Linked DNA regions of Drosophila melanogaster. The protein of the gene in region 1 purifies or fractionates together with the protein of each later gene. This does not show direct contact. Each region holds a gene or a part of one and is shown in the gene's direction. Other genes may lie near its edges.

Region 1 (4,551 bases):
AATCAGTACAGGTGAGCACAACATTAAAATGATTCATTCAATGCGTGTCTTAAACATTTATTTTCGTATTTTCCAGTAGTGGCAGTCCGTACTACGTAACCAATCAAAGCTCTGGAGTGGCCACACCACAGACGCATGTGGAAGGAAGCGCAGCGAGCGGCGGCGGCGGAGGCGGCGGGGTTGGAGCTCTGCTTGCGCTAAAGAGGAACCATGTGATGGGCGGCGGGGCATCGCAGCATACGCTGCATCAGCAGCAGGCCGTGGCCCAGCAACAGCATTCAGAGATTATCTACGAGGAGTTGCCGACCGACTACAGCGGCCACATTGAGGCCAGCGAGGAGGAGTGCGTCACCACTGCCACCGATGCCACCGTGGCCAAGCGACCCAAGTATGTGTCGGAAGTGCTCTGATGCGTGCGGATCCAGAAGCACCGGCAGAACAAGGGCAAATAGTGAGGCCCATGGGTGTAAACGATTAGAAAGCAAAAACAAAAAAGTATCTCCATCTTGTATATTGAATTTGCCAATCAAAAACCTATACCTAAACCCCGAAATACAAATCAAATTAAATAGCCACACACGCAGAACTTAAGGAACATGAACGCACGCGAAGAGCAATGTATATGTAAATTGATATGGAACATTTTACAAATAGCAACTGTGAGATGATTGTGTTTGAAATGTTGGCCATGCAGCCGTTCAACGGCGGCGACTTATGCAAGCACACATTTTGAAAATTCGAAAACCCGATTCGAAGTAACGACTTTATCCCCTAGATCTGACGAATTCAATATGCTCGATGACGCTACTCTCTAAGTAATATAATAAATTTTAAGTTTACAACAAGGTAAAGCAGCAAACAAAGCAAAATTATCTAGATATATGCGATTGATTATTGTAATGATTGATGATTATGATGTTTAAGATGTTATAGCTATGTGACCGAATTGTGCGAGAAACGTGAAAAAAAATTTGGGGAAAATTAAGTAACAAGCAAGCAAACCACACAAGTAACAAACAAACAAACAAACAGGCGAATGAATAATATTACCTATCTACATACCTTTACCTATATCGATTTAAATATAATATATATATATATGTGTATATATATATATGTATATCTATATTAATATATATACAAATTATTAAAATACAAACAAAAACAAAAATGATGAAAATAAATAAGTAATATCTACAAATTTACGGATACAATAACAATATATAAAGATTGAAATGATAGCACATTATTTCTTATTAATGAAGAAAATCCCATTTAAGTGTTTGGACAAATTGTGTATTAAAAAAAAAAACAAAAATCAAATGTAAACTTTCTTGTTTCAATTTGTTAATATTTACCTGCTTTAATTGAATTAGATAGATGAATGAATACTAGTTGATACTAGTCAACAGGAGCGCAATCAAGTCTGGGCATTTATTGGGGAATTCCTGGATTCGTTTTTTATTTATACAAAACAAAGTAAATTGAATAGTTCCCGCCACTGTCATTGGAATAAATGGAAGGCTTCCAAGTGAACCACCCGTTCGTTGAACAGCTCAAAAAATTCAACGCCATTTGTGCAGTAAAATTGTTCCGTTTTCAAATTTTGTAATTTGTAGCTTTTATCCTTAAAAATGTAAATAAATGTCCCAATAAAACATGAGCTTGAAATATTACAAAGAAAAAATGCTTCCAGTAACGGCATAATAGTGTGAACGAAACTTTTGCACAACTGAACACTAACAGTAAAAGTTCCGCATGTATTTCTAAGCTGCTCTGCTACGGTCACACCATAGAAGATACCTGGAAAGTTCTCAACTTTTTTCGTTTTGATAAATTGATTAATTCATTCGAAATGGTGGTTAAAGCTGTCTGCGTAATTAACGGCGATGCCAAGGGCACGGTTTTCTTCGAACAGGAGGTGAGAATCCAAAATCATTTGAACTTCTCTGCTCGGCAAAATGTACGAAAAACAGAAGTTCTAAAGGTCAAATAGCCGGCTGCACCCGCGGCCCCCTCTTCCACTTCAATATGCTGCTTTAAATTCTGTCGAGCATTTTAATTAAGTCCGATTTGAGTTTACGCCTAGTCACCCAGCAAGTGCACCTTTATATTTATATAAGCCGCACCAAAATGCGCATATGTGTGTGCGCTCAAGTGCCTACAGCAAAGGTCACGAAATTGGTACTGGACATAAAAAGGAGTTAAGATATAAAGCTCACTTGTTCGTAAAGTATCGTTAAATATCAACAAATATTTGTTTTAGAATAAGCATTAGGAATATGGGAATAATTAGAATGATGCTGTTCATAATTAATTTGTACATCAAAGTCAAAGCAGCAATGTCAAGTGTCAAGTAAACGATTATAAACTTGATGATTACAGGTTATGTTTCAGTGCCGAGGAAATTTATGTTTTTAATCTATAAAGATAACCAAATGTTTACTTTGCTGCCTATAAATATTTCCGTTTAACGTGTGTCTATTAACAAATGTTATTTTCTATAATAACCTATTATCATATGAAGTTGGCCACGCTCGTTATCATAATCAGTGCTTCTGCTCACTATTATACACAACTTGTGTCTTATCAGTATTCGAGTATTATCTGAAGCGTTATAACCCAATCCCTTCATCCCGTCCACAGAGCAGCGGTACGCCCGTGAAGGTCTCCGGTGAGGTGTGCGGCCTGGCCAAGGGTCTGCACGGATTCCACGTGCACGAGTTCGGTGACAACACCAATGGCTGCATGTCGTCCGGACCGCACTTCAATCCGTATGGCAAGGAGCATGGCGCTCCCGTCGACGAGAATCGTCACCTGGGCGATCTGGGCAACATTGAGGCCACCGGCGACTGCCCCACCAAGGTCAACATCACCGACTCCAAGATTACGCTCTTCGGCGCCGACAGCATCATCGGACGCACCGTTGTCGTGCACGCCGATGCCGATGATCTTGGCCAGGGTGGACACGAGCTGAGCAAGTCAACGGGCAACGCTGGTGCCCGCATCGGGTGCGGCGTTATTGGCATTGCCAAGGTCTAAGCGATAATCTATTCCGATGTCGGCCACTGTGCTGATCTACTCTATTTAGCACTACCCACTGGAGATATACAAACGATATACATACTTCTAAACATAAATACATAGCCTGTGGTCTGTTAGTTGATACGCAACCTTTGAGGTTCAATAAATTGGTGTTTTGAAATTGCCCCATAAACAAAAGTTATAGTTTTCATTTGAGTTGAGATGGTAAGAATGAATATATCACTTGTTGCTCGACGAATTCGCAAGTAGAATCGGGTTATAGATTCGTATGAAATGAATTACATATTAGATGAGTGCAGAACCCAAAAATCACGATGAGACACACATTCGTTCATGTTTTGATAACATATCTCCGTTTTAGATTATTTATTTATTTTTGTAATTACTTTGGTTACTCTCCGGGCAGCCTGGTTAAAAGTCTTTAAAACACACTTTATAAACAATGAGTTAGGTAGTATTATTTACAAAAAATATTGTAAATCAAGATACTCGCCACATGAGTAGAAACTAATATTAATTTCGTGTGCGGTATAAATTCACTACAAAAGAACAAAGTCATATACTACGACGGGGATTTAAATGAACCTAGGTCTTGTTGAAATATGATTGGTAGACAATGCCCAGCGATGAAGTGGCGAATAGGGTGAAGTAGCTCCACCAGGTGGCAAAGCCCAGGAAACCCTTGTACACCTCCGTGGAGAAAACCTGAAAAAGAAATTATGATTAAAACTGGCATTGACGTGCACAGCAAGGATTCTTACGTTTTTCAGGCTGCTAAACGAAGCCTGCAGCGATTGCGCCGACTCAATAATATTAAAGTCACCATCTCCTTGGGAAACGGCAACACCAGCTCCTTCCGTTTCGCTAGCCGCACACTCGTGCTGCAGGACAACGCTCTCGCGGAAAATACCCGACCAGCTAAAGCCGCCCAGACTTTTGTACATAAGTGTGAGATAAAGGCATAGGATCAGTGGGGCAGCAAATTGCAGCGTCACAACACATAGATAGTAGAAAATAGACGAGATCTGTAAAAGGGAAAGGAGGATTTACTCGATGAACGTTTGTATAAAATAAAGACTGCCTCCACCTTCTGCTTGAACTCTACGTTGGTGATCCGACCGGCCTCCTTGCGCAGATCCATGATCTTGTCGTGGGCCAGATTCAGGTACGATTGCAGATATATGGGCATCAAGGCGAAACGAACCACCACCACAAAGATCACTAGCAGCAGGCGAAGTGTCTCAAAAACGTGTGGCTTCAGTCTGCAAAAATAATCGGGATGAACTTGTTAATTAGTAAAAACTAATTTAATGTGAGTAGGTTAACTCACAGTGGCTGTTGCATTCCTTGGAAGACGCGCACCGTCAGGTAATCGCGGCTAATGGGCCGAATCCACAGGATGACCAGAATAAAGGGCAGCACAAAGCTGAGATTCAGGAGCACTTGCAGCAACCGGTTGCCGCGACAGTACTTCAACGAATCCCAGTGCATCTTGGCCATCCGCAA
Region 2 (5,062 bases), on another chromosome or scaffold:
TAGAAATTATTTATATTTATGTTCGTAAAAAACCACAACGATTTAGATTATTTAAATGTAAAAGCTATTAATATTAACAGTTTGCGTTCTCCTGACCAGTCATAAGCGAAGCAAATGTAACTGACATTTGTTACCGTTTATTGTTTGTCACGAACTCAGTTAGATTCACTTCTCTGTTTCAGAGCTGATTTGCGATTGGTCGTTGCTTGGCGGTGTGTCCATGTCGTATACGTAATGTGAAACGGATTAGCTCGTTAAGATCAGATTGGAACCAGCTGTTGAGCAGAAACGGCAGTCACGTTTATAGCTCTCTAGCCCAGCTAGATCGCAAATTAATCCATTATCAGTCACTTTTCTTATCAGCCCAGACAACAACAGACCAACTGACATCGCATCAATTGAGACAGATCCTCCCCCTGTTGAACGATTTCATTATTTCTGAACTTAGTACACACTCAGCTTGTCATGCATATCACCAAGTGTCTATTCAGATTTTCCCACTCCCGGGCGCTCCATTGGGCTTCGCAGAAACTAAATCAGTATGCGATTAGGAGGTGCATCAGTCACCGAAGGCTCAGGTGAGGCGAGATAGTCTGACACTGATAAAGGGCCCGTCCTGCTATGGCACGTTCGTTTTAGCCAGATAGAGCGATAGACGGCGAGCCTTCTGAATCACCTGATGCTGTCTCATCCCCAGAAACTACTCACACTGCACAAAAGTCAGACTTTTCAAGAACAATTTCGATATTACACTCATTCCTTTGCATTGATTTTAAATAATACGTCATTTCCATAATACGACGTTTTGAATAAGTGGACTCATTTGACCGGAAATGGGAAATATACTCACTTCATACTTTTAATAATAATGCGTTCATTCAAGTAGTAACCAACGTCAAGTTCTAATTACGAGAACATATCTTCTTTTGCAATTGAGTCCAATCCAACTCATACGAACTTGAATTCATTATAAAATACGCTGTGATGTATGTAAAAAAATAAATTAGTAATGACTACACTACTACAAATTCTTTCATTGTAAATGTTTTAATTTACAATTCCTTAAATATGAATAAATTTTCTAAACAAAACTAGTTTTAGATAACATAGTATTTATTTGCTTTAGAGCCAATTTCCTGCCTATCTCAATAATGAATAATCTTTCTTCCAAATCAAAAATTATTTATAATCGTTTTTGGCAACAATCATAAGTTAGTGAGGGTCTTAAATACCACGTCAATTCATTTCAGGGTGATTCTATCTTATCGCCCTATTTTCGAGATTTCAGAAGAGCGAGGCTTTAGAAAATCAGGCTAAAGTATTTACGGTTTCCTTTTCACCACGGCAAAATGAACAAAATTTTCCATATTGGAATATAATGAGACCCTAGTGCTTCGCCAATTGTATAATTCTCTCTACTGCCCAATAATTTTCTCAATCAATCAATGCAAATGTGACAGAGTTTACGCATCAATAAATCTTATTTATTTGCGTTCTCAACTAAAAAGGCAAACAGAAAACACGATTTTAGCCAATTTTCAGCTGTGCTTCAGCTTCTTTCCCCCAAAGGGAACACTTGGTAACTCTGTTCCGGGCGGATCTTTGCGAAAATCTTATTTAAATTTAAATCTCCGGCACTTGGATCGAGGCAGTCGGATCGTTGCCTTCAAACGATCAACATCGCAGGGGCTTTATGGCGATAAAGCAGCGCTTTTGATTAGGAACGAGAGTGTATATAGTCCGCGTTCACATCTATATACATATAGTAATCTGGTGCACAAAACAATACAGATAGTGAGCGAGTTATAAAAACTCGTAGTCAGCTCAGCAAATTGCCAATAATAAAAGTGAGTGAAATGCGAAAACAAACTACAAATTAATTTGAAACTGAAAAAGTACCTTTACAAGTAATTGTAATTTGGTTTGTAACTCTCGACTGAAAAATACAACGCGAGCTGAATATACAAAAGCAATTAAATTATAATTTTCAATACAAATTGCTGTGGTTGCTGTCGTTTTCCCTCATATCTGCTGATATTTTCCCTGAGCTTTTTTTATCGCGTTGAAAACGTGAATTCTCGTTATTTTTACCACAGATCAGCGACTTGCGGTGTCAGTGATCTGTGGTCCCTGGGTATTTAGAATTTAAATGGACTTGCGGACAGAAATCCCACACCGAATAGTATATAAACTGCTGTCTAGTGTCAACGCTTCAAGTCTCGTTTTTGCACTGCCAAAAACCACTTTTTTTTTTATTCCAATATGAATTGCAGCTAATTTGAACTGTGAATTTCATTAGGAATCGAGTGAATAGCTGAAAGTAGCTGATCCAGCCCGACTGGAAGATGTACACTTTCTGTTGCTAAACCTATTTAATCTTATCAATATCAATATCAATTTCATTATATTCTTTCTAAGAAAGTTTCTAAGTTCTTTCTATATGTGCACTTCAAGCTGCTGACTTCAACGAGGCAATCAGTTTTTTTTTTTTATCAGTATCCCTGAACTTGTCCAAAAACAAGTTAAGTGCACTTAACTATATAGAGGTGAAATGATTCTTAAAACTGAAGAGCCTTGAATGCCGCTGTATTTCAAGTGAAATTCCATCAGAAGATTACTTCAAGATCTATTTTCAATATCAATGCAATAAACAATGCCCATGATAACGAATATTTGAGTTATCTTCGAGATTAAGTTCAATGCTTTCCAGTTTTATGAGCAATCGATAAACCTTTATTGTCCACTTGAAGATTGAAGATTAAGGCTCCAGTGGTTCATAATGTTACTAGGTCAAATTTTCCCCTTTATTTAATTAAGATTAAAACGCAGTACTTAAGCCACTCAATATGAATCCTTGTATTGCAAATCATTTTATTTAATTTGTTTAACTTAATTACTAATTATTTCCCTCACGCATGAACGTTTCGTTTGCAGCTAACTGCAAACCTTTTTACGATTCAATAACCTTTCGAAGGCCTTTCGATCGGCATTTGAACGGCTAATCAAAGCAAAAACGCACAGTATCTAAAACAAGTTAATTCAACCTGATGCAAGTTAATTCTTAATGACATTACCTGTTTTTGTGTGTCTTGTGTGTTTCTTCGTTTTCCTCGCGGACTTTTCAACATGTCATTCCAAACCCATCAGGCATTTGTTAGAATTTTCGACTAAGCCAACAAACCGTGCTTTATAATGGCTAGTTGAGTGATTAAATTAATCGGCAATTATACGAACGCGTTGAATGGCCCACATAACGATTAAAATCGTCCTTGAATGATTTTGGCAAAGTTTTGTTTTTCAAGCCCAGTTCAAAGATCTGAATTAACTGACTTTTGGCTATTGTATTCAAACAAAAACGTCATGCGAGGCACTTATCACTGCCATCGATGACGACAATGAAATTTTATAATACACATCTATATAAACAAATCATAAAGTCACTGGCAAACATAATAGCCCAACTAAATGGTGAGAGTGCGAATAAGCATTCAGAAAAGTTAATGATTTCGTTCACGCACCTTAAATTGTTGTTTAAACAATAGTTGCTTCATGATCGGGCTGCATTTTTATGATTTATATGGAATTTAAGACGGAATTGTGTGATTTTTGAGTAATGCGGAATCGGAAGTCCACGTAGGGGGGAATTCAAAATTCGAAAAGTTGTTAATACAATAATGTTTTCCAATGCCTGACACGTAGGGCCAGCTGTAGCGCCTGCTATTTGTCATCCATGGTTATCTGAAATGTTTTTCGAAAAGAGCCATAAATCAAATATTGGTTGAGTACGCCGAGCGGAACAAGAAAGTAAATATCTACAAAAAACTCAATGGAGTGTGTCTGGAAGTGTAGTAAGTGTTATAAGTCTATGATCCCAACTTGCAAATGCCGAATATGACTTCGCTAATGGAATCATAAATACTAACCACTTGTGACGTATGTATTAGATCAATGATTTAGTTGCACCTGCTAGTTGCTGTCGTCACAGAAAGATTGAAACAATGAACTTCTCTCTTTGTGGTTCTCATTACCGTGCGGCTCAATTTAAATTGCACAATTGTTTCGCCTATTTGAGTTCCCTTTGTTTTCTGATGCCCCATAGGGTTATATCATCGTAGTGCGATAATTCATCATACACTTAATGTTCCATAAAATACATTTGTACATTTCGTGTGCAATATGGTGGCCTTAGCCGTTCGAGTTTGAGTTCTACTGGCTTCCGATAATGGCTCTCCAAGCTGCGCTTAAGTTTTCCAATCCCATCACATAATCCCCTTTTTGCGACTCAAATTTCCAAATATGACGTATCTGTATATCCATACATTCGTTAATCTCTCGAAAGCAATCCTTATTCAGCGAATCAGTTCAATGAAGACTCGTTATGTCGGTCCACAGAGTGGCATTCGTGCAAAACGTCGCAATTCCGGTCCAGAATTTGGGGCCAGACGACACACGTGTCACTAACACACAACCCACTCTAATTATAGACTTGAAAATGTATCAGCTTGATTAGTTTGGATATAAATAAAATGTCAGGCGAATGTCACCATTCTTCGGTGACCTCAAATCGGGTACAGCGCGATTAAACCGCACTGCAATGCAAATCGCTCAGATATCGGGCTATACTCATTAAATTTCTGGATAACTGGTTAGTTTCCAATTCCAAAAAAAAGTTTCCACACTTGCCATCGTAAGTGGAGCATTACCTATTAGCATTTAAACTAGGCCTAAAATCCCCGAAAATTACTTCTTATCAGTAAGTACAGTGGGACCTTGCTCAGGCAAATATCTATATGGTAACTATAGATGATCAAAAGTTGCGGGTGCCGCTTTAAATAGGTGTTATAGTTATGAATATATATTCAAAGGTCCTAAACCATGAATATTCAAACATCAGTTAACGATATGCAAATGATGGGTGTGCCAAAAACCCAGTCGAATGCCCCTTGCCACCGGGCAACTGTGTAATTACCAAGGCACTTAGAACCGAAACCGATACCAATATGCCGATTGAGCAGGTAATGAATGGCTGACTTATAAATATATATATGTATATATGTGTTCA
Region 3 (7,248 bases), on another chromosome or scaffold:
ATGTCGGTTTTCACCCAGCCAGGATGCAGACTGACGCACATGATGCGTTGCGGATACAGATCCACGCTCAACGACTTGGTGGCCGCATTCAAGGCCGACTTAGAGGTGCGATAGGCGTACATTCCGCCGTCCGTGTTGCCCTGGATGGAGCCAAGGATCGAGGACATGTTAATAATGGCGGCACGGCCCACGCCCATCGGCTGGGATTCGTTCGCTTTGGCTGCCTTCTTAAGGAGCGGCAGACACGCCTTGGCCAGCATGATGGGCACAACCGTGTTGGTCTGCAAGGTGTCGAGCAGCTCCTGCGATCGAACGGCCGTTATCCTGGCCGATTTGGGCGCTATGCCGGCATTGTTGAAGAGCACATTGAGGCCTTGGTCCTTGGTCACGCCCTCGATGTCGGCGACTAGCTTGTCATAGGCATCGAAATTTCTCAAATCTGCACGGAAAATATATTTATATGCGAGAGTGTTTAGCGGCTGGTAAAACATAATGCTTACCAATCTCAAGTATGTGTATGTTCGAGTGGTTCTTGGCTAGATCCTCCAGCTCCTGTGGGCCAAATTGGGAAAGACAAAATGTTTGAATAAGAAGCACATTATTAGTAAAAAAGCAGTTTATATATGAATAATTTTCCAGTTAAATTACTGTAATTTTTAGAGGCAAATTTGGTATTTCATGAGAGTTTAAATAGCGCGCCCAACGAGCGCGTTAGTGCCATAATAACCGATAGACGATAAGTGCTGCTGGTGTGACCGAACAATAGTCGGCCCAGCAATCGACAAGCCAATCGACGTCTCCCTTTCGCACGCTCGTACGAAAGTACAAAAGCTATTGCAAAAGTTGGCTCCGCTTATTCGTTTCGTGCTTTCGCGAGTGCCGAGAGCCGCTACAATACACGCTTAGCAGTTTTTACATTTCCGCTTCGACTACAACAACATTCACTACCCGCCGTTGATCCTTGTTTTCTGTCTGATTTACGTGGAGCACCTACCAACAAGCAACAAAATAATGGCGCCCGTGCAAGGTGAGTTTCACAGTTAATTCGATTCCAATTGAACCATTCAATTTATGCATGCCCATTTGGACGATTAAAAAGCGGTTTGTAGAAATAGTGGCTCTTGTGGATTGTTCGCGTAGCTTCTGTAGTTTCTGTAGCTCGACGGTTGTGAGTCACCGGTTTTGTTGGATTACTGGATTGTCTTAGTAGAGAGACAACGCAAAATAAGAAGAAAACATCTCTCACCTTTGCCTGCTCGCGATTCCGGCAGGTGGTAAATAGATGCTGCGGCGGCTGGGGAAGATTGAGCAGCGCCTTGACCAGGCCCAGACCCAATCCTCGATTGCAGCCGGTTATCAGGATGGAGTTCATGTTTTTTTTTTCCGAAGATCCGCGATCGAGTTGCTCGAAATCTTATCGCGTCGTACTTGAGATAAAACCAATAAAGGGCGGCACTACTATACGGGTTCCGTGTGTTCTGTGGATTTCACCAGACCCGCAGCCAGATCTTTCCGTGCTTATCAATCGACTTTATTGCCGTAACACAAGCGTGAAAATAGTGAAATGTTAGGAAAAATTTTGACGGCCGGCTGTTTCGTTCGGACAGCAGCAGTGTTACCAACCATCCGCGAGTTATCGATACACTTGCGCATTGCCAAACGTGCGTTTCGCACATTTCCAATTGGCAAAGGGCAGAACAACTGTTGTGATGTTCAAATCCCAAATGGAATTTCGCAATCCAATGGATGCTCCTTTATGGCAAATCCATTTTATCCCAAACATTCTCGTTTTTGCGGTACGCGCTCTTGCGCCCTCTCTCTTTCTCGCTGCTTCTGTTACGTAGCCGTTTATCGGCGCCTCTGCCTGCCCACCGCTTTCGCAGCATTCCCGGCCGAACCAGCGAACGTGTTTGTGTTGTGTGTTCCGCCGTCATTTTTCTGCACCCTTTTCGCGAATAGTTTCGTTTCGCCTCCAGCTGGTAGAGTGAAACGCCAAACGTTGAAGAAGGGGAAAGGCCAACAAGATGAACTTGTGCAATTCGAGATTCTCCGTTACGTTCGTGCGGCAGTGCTCGACGATTTTAACGTCTCCTTCGGCTGGCATTATACAAAACAGAGGCTCACTGACAACAAAGGTTCCCCATTGGATTTCCAGTAGTCTCAGCTGTGCCCATCACACGTTTCAGCGAACTATGAACTTGACGGGACAGCGAGGATCACGCGACAGTACTGGAGCTACCGGTGGGAATGCTCCAGCCGGATCCGGTGCCGGCGCACCACCACCCTTCCAGCATCCACATTGCGACAGGGCGGCCATGTACGCGCAACCGGTGCGAAAGATGAGCACCAAAGGAGGTGAGCATCGATATCGATTGATATTCTGATTAGATCTTTGCTGTTGCCGCCGCAGCTGCTGCTCCTGTTGCCGCCGGTTGGCAACGCGGTCGATTGTCGCGGTTTTCTTGCTTGTTGTTTTTTCTGGGTCTTCTTGTGTTTAACCGACGCCATTATGCAATAACCGTTAGTTGCCTGGCCAAAAAGTCCATTACTCTGCTCTTATTACCTGGCTTATCGGGTTTCTGCGGCACGTATTCGCCAAGGGTTTATATGCCTGCCCGGCATTTGCTGTCTCACATTTGCACCGTCATCGTCAATCGTCATCGCGCACCCGCTCCAACTGGAATTGTACAGTCGGGGTCGCGCGAACAGCACTCGAAACTCGTATCATGCTGAAGTACATGATTTGCGCCATCGTTGTGGGCGCCAAAAAGAGCACATCCTCTAAGTATAATGGTCAACAAAGTTCTGAATCGCGTATAAATACTATGTCAGTCGAATTTTTTTAATTGAATTATGGATTGCTCATAAAACCATTACTCAATTGCAGCTTAAACAATATCAGTTATTTGCCTCAAAAAAGAATTACATCATATGACTTAACGAATTAATAATATTTGTTAAATTACATTCATACAAGTCACTTGTATTGCCATTTTGCCTTTAGCTGGTAAAAAAAAACTAATATCTATTTATATGAAGTTAAACGTATTTGATGTTTTAATTTGTAATATAATATAAATCCCACATGCCACGATCAAGTTTTCTTGTTAAATGAATAATTAGCCAATCGAGCAGATACGAAGCTTCTAATTCCGAAAACAATAGAAGAATTTACTTATAAATATATGCCATATTCTGATTTCAAATGGTAATTAAGGGTATAATAGGATTTCTTAAAGCACCAACGTGATATGTGTGATTTTTGTCGAATGCGGTGCTCTTGAACGAATAACCCTTTGCGGAATGTTCGAGAATCGCTTTATGATGATGATGATGATGATTTCACCATATCAGTCGGGTGCATTTATTCCCTTTATCTGTGTTTTCTATTTCGTATCTCTCGTATCCGTCGCTCAACGAGCGCCCGCCATCGTCTTTGATCTTTCATCATCATTGCTGAGCTGCGTCATCACCACTTCATTCCGCAATTAATTGCAGTGTGACGACAACAATTGTTTATTTGCACTCGCATTCGTACGTAGCCACCTGATTTCCCCCTGTTCCTGGCCAGGATTAGCATTCCGTCCGATAAAAGCGAATTGTGTGTGGTGTTGCCAACTAGTTTTGGGGCGTAACCATGACAAAGTCCGGCGGGTCAAAGCAAACCGAATGGGGGGGCGTAGGTGGACGGACGGAAGAAAGGCGTGGCCGGGCTGGGATGGGCGTGGCTTGGTGTGTGGCGATGTCGCTAGATGATTGCTCCACTTTGATTCGAACTCCCACTGACCCAGTGGCATGTGTGGCATTCGGCAGCACTATCGCTACCTGGCAACTGAAGCCAAGGAGCTCGACGGGATTGCACGGTGCAGATTACGGATTGCAGGAGGCCAAACAGTCTTCGTTCCGCACTTCTTTGGTCTGGATGCATCTGTTCGAATTCATACCGGCTTCCCAGTTGGTCGAGGGTGAACCACGCCACCGGAGGAGCATCTACCGATCCGCCTATCTGGACATACGACTGCGCGAGGAGTCCACCAAAGGCAGGCGGGGATTAGCCATAATCATGAGTGAAGCTAAAGAGAAACTTGAGTAGTTGGCACCACATGGCTAATTGATATCATTACCTATCACTGATAAGGATTTTCAACTAATCTAGATACTGGTTAAGAACAAAAACAGACCATGCCAATACAACATGGCTATTGATGTTACTAACGGTGATAAGTTTTTAATAATACAAGGTGAATTGGCTGTGCTACGATTAGATTTCCTGACGGCTCCTCATGTTCTGTGACCTCTTGACCTCTTTAAGCCCAATTTTGGCAGTAGATTACATATTTCTATAGACAAAAGGCGATGAATCAAACGAAAACCTTTTTTCTCCTGCAGGATCCTACGACTACGACCTTATTGTGATTGGAGGCGGCTCAGCTGGCCTGGCCTGCGCCAAGGAGGCAGTCCTCAATGGAGCCCGTGTGGCCTGTCTGGATTTCGTTAAGCCCACGCCCACTCTGGGCACCAAGTGGGGCGTTGGCGGCACCTGCGTGAACGTGGGCTGCATTCCCAAGAAGCTGATGCACCAGGCCTCCCTTCTGGGCGAGGCTGTCCATGAGGCGGCCGCCTACGGCTGGAACGTGGACGAAAAGATCAAGCCAGACTGGCACAAGCTGGTGCAGTCCGTACAGAACCACATCAAGTCCGTCAACTGGGTGACCCGTGTGGATCTGCGCGACAAGTAAGTGTGACTATATCTATGGCTTCCGCTCGAGCATCCCCACTAATTATACCCTTCTATTTGCGCTCAGGAAAGTGGAGTACATCAATGGACTGGGCTCCTTCGTGGACTCGCACACACTGCTGGCCAAGCTGAAGAGCGGCGAGCGCACAATCACCGCCCAGACCTTCGTCATTGCCGTTGGCGGCCGACCACGTTATCCGGATATTCCCGGTGCTGTCGAGTATGGCATCACCAGCGATGATCTGTTCAGTTTGGACCGCGAGCCCGGCAAGACCCTGGTGGTGGGAGCTGGCTGTAAGTAGCTACTTTCATTTGCTTACATCAAATTGATGAATAACCCATTCGGTTTCTGCTCTTTCACTCAGACATTGGCTTGGAGTGCGCTGGATTCCTGAAGGGTCTCGGCTACGAGCCCACTGTGATGGTGCGTTCTATTGTGCTGCGTGGCTTCGACCAGCAGATGGCCGAGCTGGTGGCAGCCTCGATGGAGGAGCGTGGCATTCCCTTCCTCCGCAAGACGGTGCCGCTGTCCGTGGAAAAGCAGGATGATGGCAAGCTGCTCGTGAAGTACAAGAACGTGGAGACCGGCGAGGAGGCCGAGGATGTTTACGACACCGTTCTGTGGGCCATCGGCCGCAAGGGTCTGGTGGACGATCTGAACCTGCCCAATGCCGGCGTGACTGTGCAGAAGGACAAGATTCCAGTGGACTCCCAGGAGGCTACCAATGTGGCAAACATCTACGCTGTCGGCGATATCATCTATGGCAAGCCAGAGCTGACGCCCGTCGCCGTTTTGGCTGGCCGTTTGCTGGCCCGCCGCCTGTACGGAGGATCTACCCAGCGCATGGACTACAAGGATGTGGCCACCACCGTTTTCACGCCCCTGGAGTACGCCTGCGTCGGCCTGAGCGAGGAGGATGCCGTCAAGCAGTTCGGAGCCGATGAGATCGAGGTGTTCCACGGCTACTACAAGCCCACGGAGTTCTTCATTCCCCAGAAGAGCGTGCGCTACTGCTACTTGAAGGCTGTGGCCGAGCGCCATGGTGACCAGCGCGTCTATGGACTGCACTATATTGGCCCGGTGGCCGGTGAGGTTATCCAGGGATTCGCTGCCGCTTTGAAGTCTGGCCTGACTATTAACACGCTGATCAACACCGTGGGCATCCATCCCACTACCGCCGAAGAATTCACCCGGCTGGCCATCACCAAGCGCTCCGGACTGGACCCCACGCCGGCCAGCTGCTGCAGCTAAAGCGGGAACGCAGCTCAGCCGCCTGGGACGTGTCGAAGCCGCTTGCTCCACCCGAAATCCCGTAGATGAATGGTTGTTGTCGCGGCCCAGCGATCGATGAGTTCAATAGTTCCGTTTCGTTTCCACAATTAACACCCAACACAATAGCTCTGCGCAAGGGAGGGGCACTGGGCAGCGATGGCGGGTGGAACGACACCAGTGGAACTACCCGCGCGACCAGCCCAACCCACGACTGCTGCGCCGCCGACATGCACTCAAAATTTTGAATTTGTTTGAACCTATGAAATTAACTATGAAATCCCCTAAATGTACGGTTGAAGAATATAATTTTTCACCAACAAACCCCTCTGTGTTTCAGTTCTGTGCATTTCCTTTAAAACATACCTCGACCTTTAGCCCTTCCTCTGCCTTTTCAATCAAGTAAGTTCATTAGCCATGCAAATGGCTTGACTTGACCTGGCTAAATCGATTCTGTCTGCCAGCCTGACAACTTGTTAGCCACCCGACTAATTGCTAATGCCATTGCTAGGGGAATCTTTGCCCTCGAGGGCTATAAATCAGCTACGAACGATGGCACCCTGGAGATACATATATCAGTGGGTAATAAATTATACTTTAGTTTTCAAAGGAAAAACAGTGCGTGATAAAGTGTAATAGAAGCTACGAAAAGGTTGAAGTTTATGACCTAAGGAATCCTCGCAAGCAAATCAAAATCAAATTAAGACAGTAAATTGATGCAATCAATTAATGAACAGCAAAGAGAATTCAATAGCTTCTATAAGGAATTAGCATTAATCATATATGTATGTATGGAACACTTTCGAGGTGGTATCTCCGATTGGATGCCACGAAACAAAGCGAGATGGCTATACTATGAACCAAGCGACTTGGAATAGCCCAATATACCCATAGTGAAACCCAACCCATTGATAAGTCGCTGTTGTGATATTTTTTCTATTACATTTTTATTTTGGTTTTCCTATTTTTCGTATTGAATAACTCCTTTGTTTTGAACAACGTAAGACTTTTTCATTTACAACTGACGCAGCGCTGGCGCCTCTGCAGCCGCCGATCGTGCTCCTCATCCCGCTACTGCGCTGGCTCTTCCCGCGGCTCGTCCTGGTGTCTTTGTGTCCGTTAATTAGTGGGCGAGTGCGGCGCGAAAGGACGAAGGGCAGAGTTTAAAAAAAAACATTAATTAGTTATTAGTTTAGATCAGACGCGAGAGTGGGCGCCTAGATAGCCACACTCTGCTTGG

What was found. Proteins that work in one complex are often made in the same cells at the same time.
Region 2: the proteins of Sod1 (region 1) and Treh purify together in Drosophila melanogaster (affinity purification with mass spectrometry, with the first as the bait; one large-scale study listed by BioGRID). This does not show direct contact.
Region 3: the proteins of Sod1 (region 1) and Trxr1 purify together in Drosophila melanogaster (affinity purification with mass spectrometry, with the first as the bait; one large-scale study listed by BioGRID). This does not show direct contact.

The regions. Positions count from the first base shown.
Region 1 is NT_037436.4:11,110,944-11,115,494, reverse strand, and holds Sod1 (superoxide dismutase 1), read left to right. Parts: upstream 1-1,754; 5' UTR 1,755-1,855; coding exon 1,856-1,921; intron 1,922-2,646; coding exon 2,647-3,042; 3' UTR 3,043-3,214; downstream 3,215-4,551. Other genes in the region: FoxK (forkhead box K), read left to right, coding at 1-11, 77-410; emei, read right to left, coding at 3,631-3,750, 3,807-4,070, 4,133-4,307, 4,376-4,551. UniProt on the Drosophila melanogaster protein: Destroys radicals which are normally produced within the cells and which are toxic to biological systems.
Region 2 is NT_033778.4:21,078,965-21,084,026, forward strand, and holds the start of Treh (trehalase), read left to right. Parts: upstream 1-1,643; 5' UTR 1,644-1,907; intron 1,908-5,062. UniProt on the Drosophila melanogaster protein: Enzyme that cleaves trehalose to produce 2 glucose molecules that can be used by the glycolytic pathway.
Region 3 is NC_004354.4:8,241,705-8,248,952, forward strand, and holds Trxr1 (thioredoxin reductase 1), read left to right. Parts: upstream 1-1,877; 5' UTR 1,878-2,024; coding exon 2,025-2,355; intron 2,356-2,484; exon of another isoform or gene 2,485-2,726; coding exon of another isoform or gene 2,727-2,793; intron 2,794-3,683; exon of another isoform or gene 3,684-3,922; coding exon of another isoform or gene 3,923-4,040; intron 4,041-4,389; coding exon 4,390-4,735; intron 4,736-4,805; coding exon 4,806-5,032; intron 5,033-5,103; coding exon 5,104-5,990; 3' UTR 5,991-6,329; downstream 6,330-7,248. Other genes in the region: sni (sniffer), read right to left, coding at 1-439, 501-552, 1,247-1,372; ND-75 (NADH dehydrogenase (ubiquinone) 75 kDa subunit), read right to left, coding at 7,226-7,248. UniProt on the Drosophila melanogaster protein: Thioredoxin system is a major player in glutathione metabolism, due to the demonstrated absence of a glutathione reductase.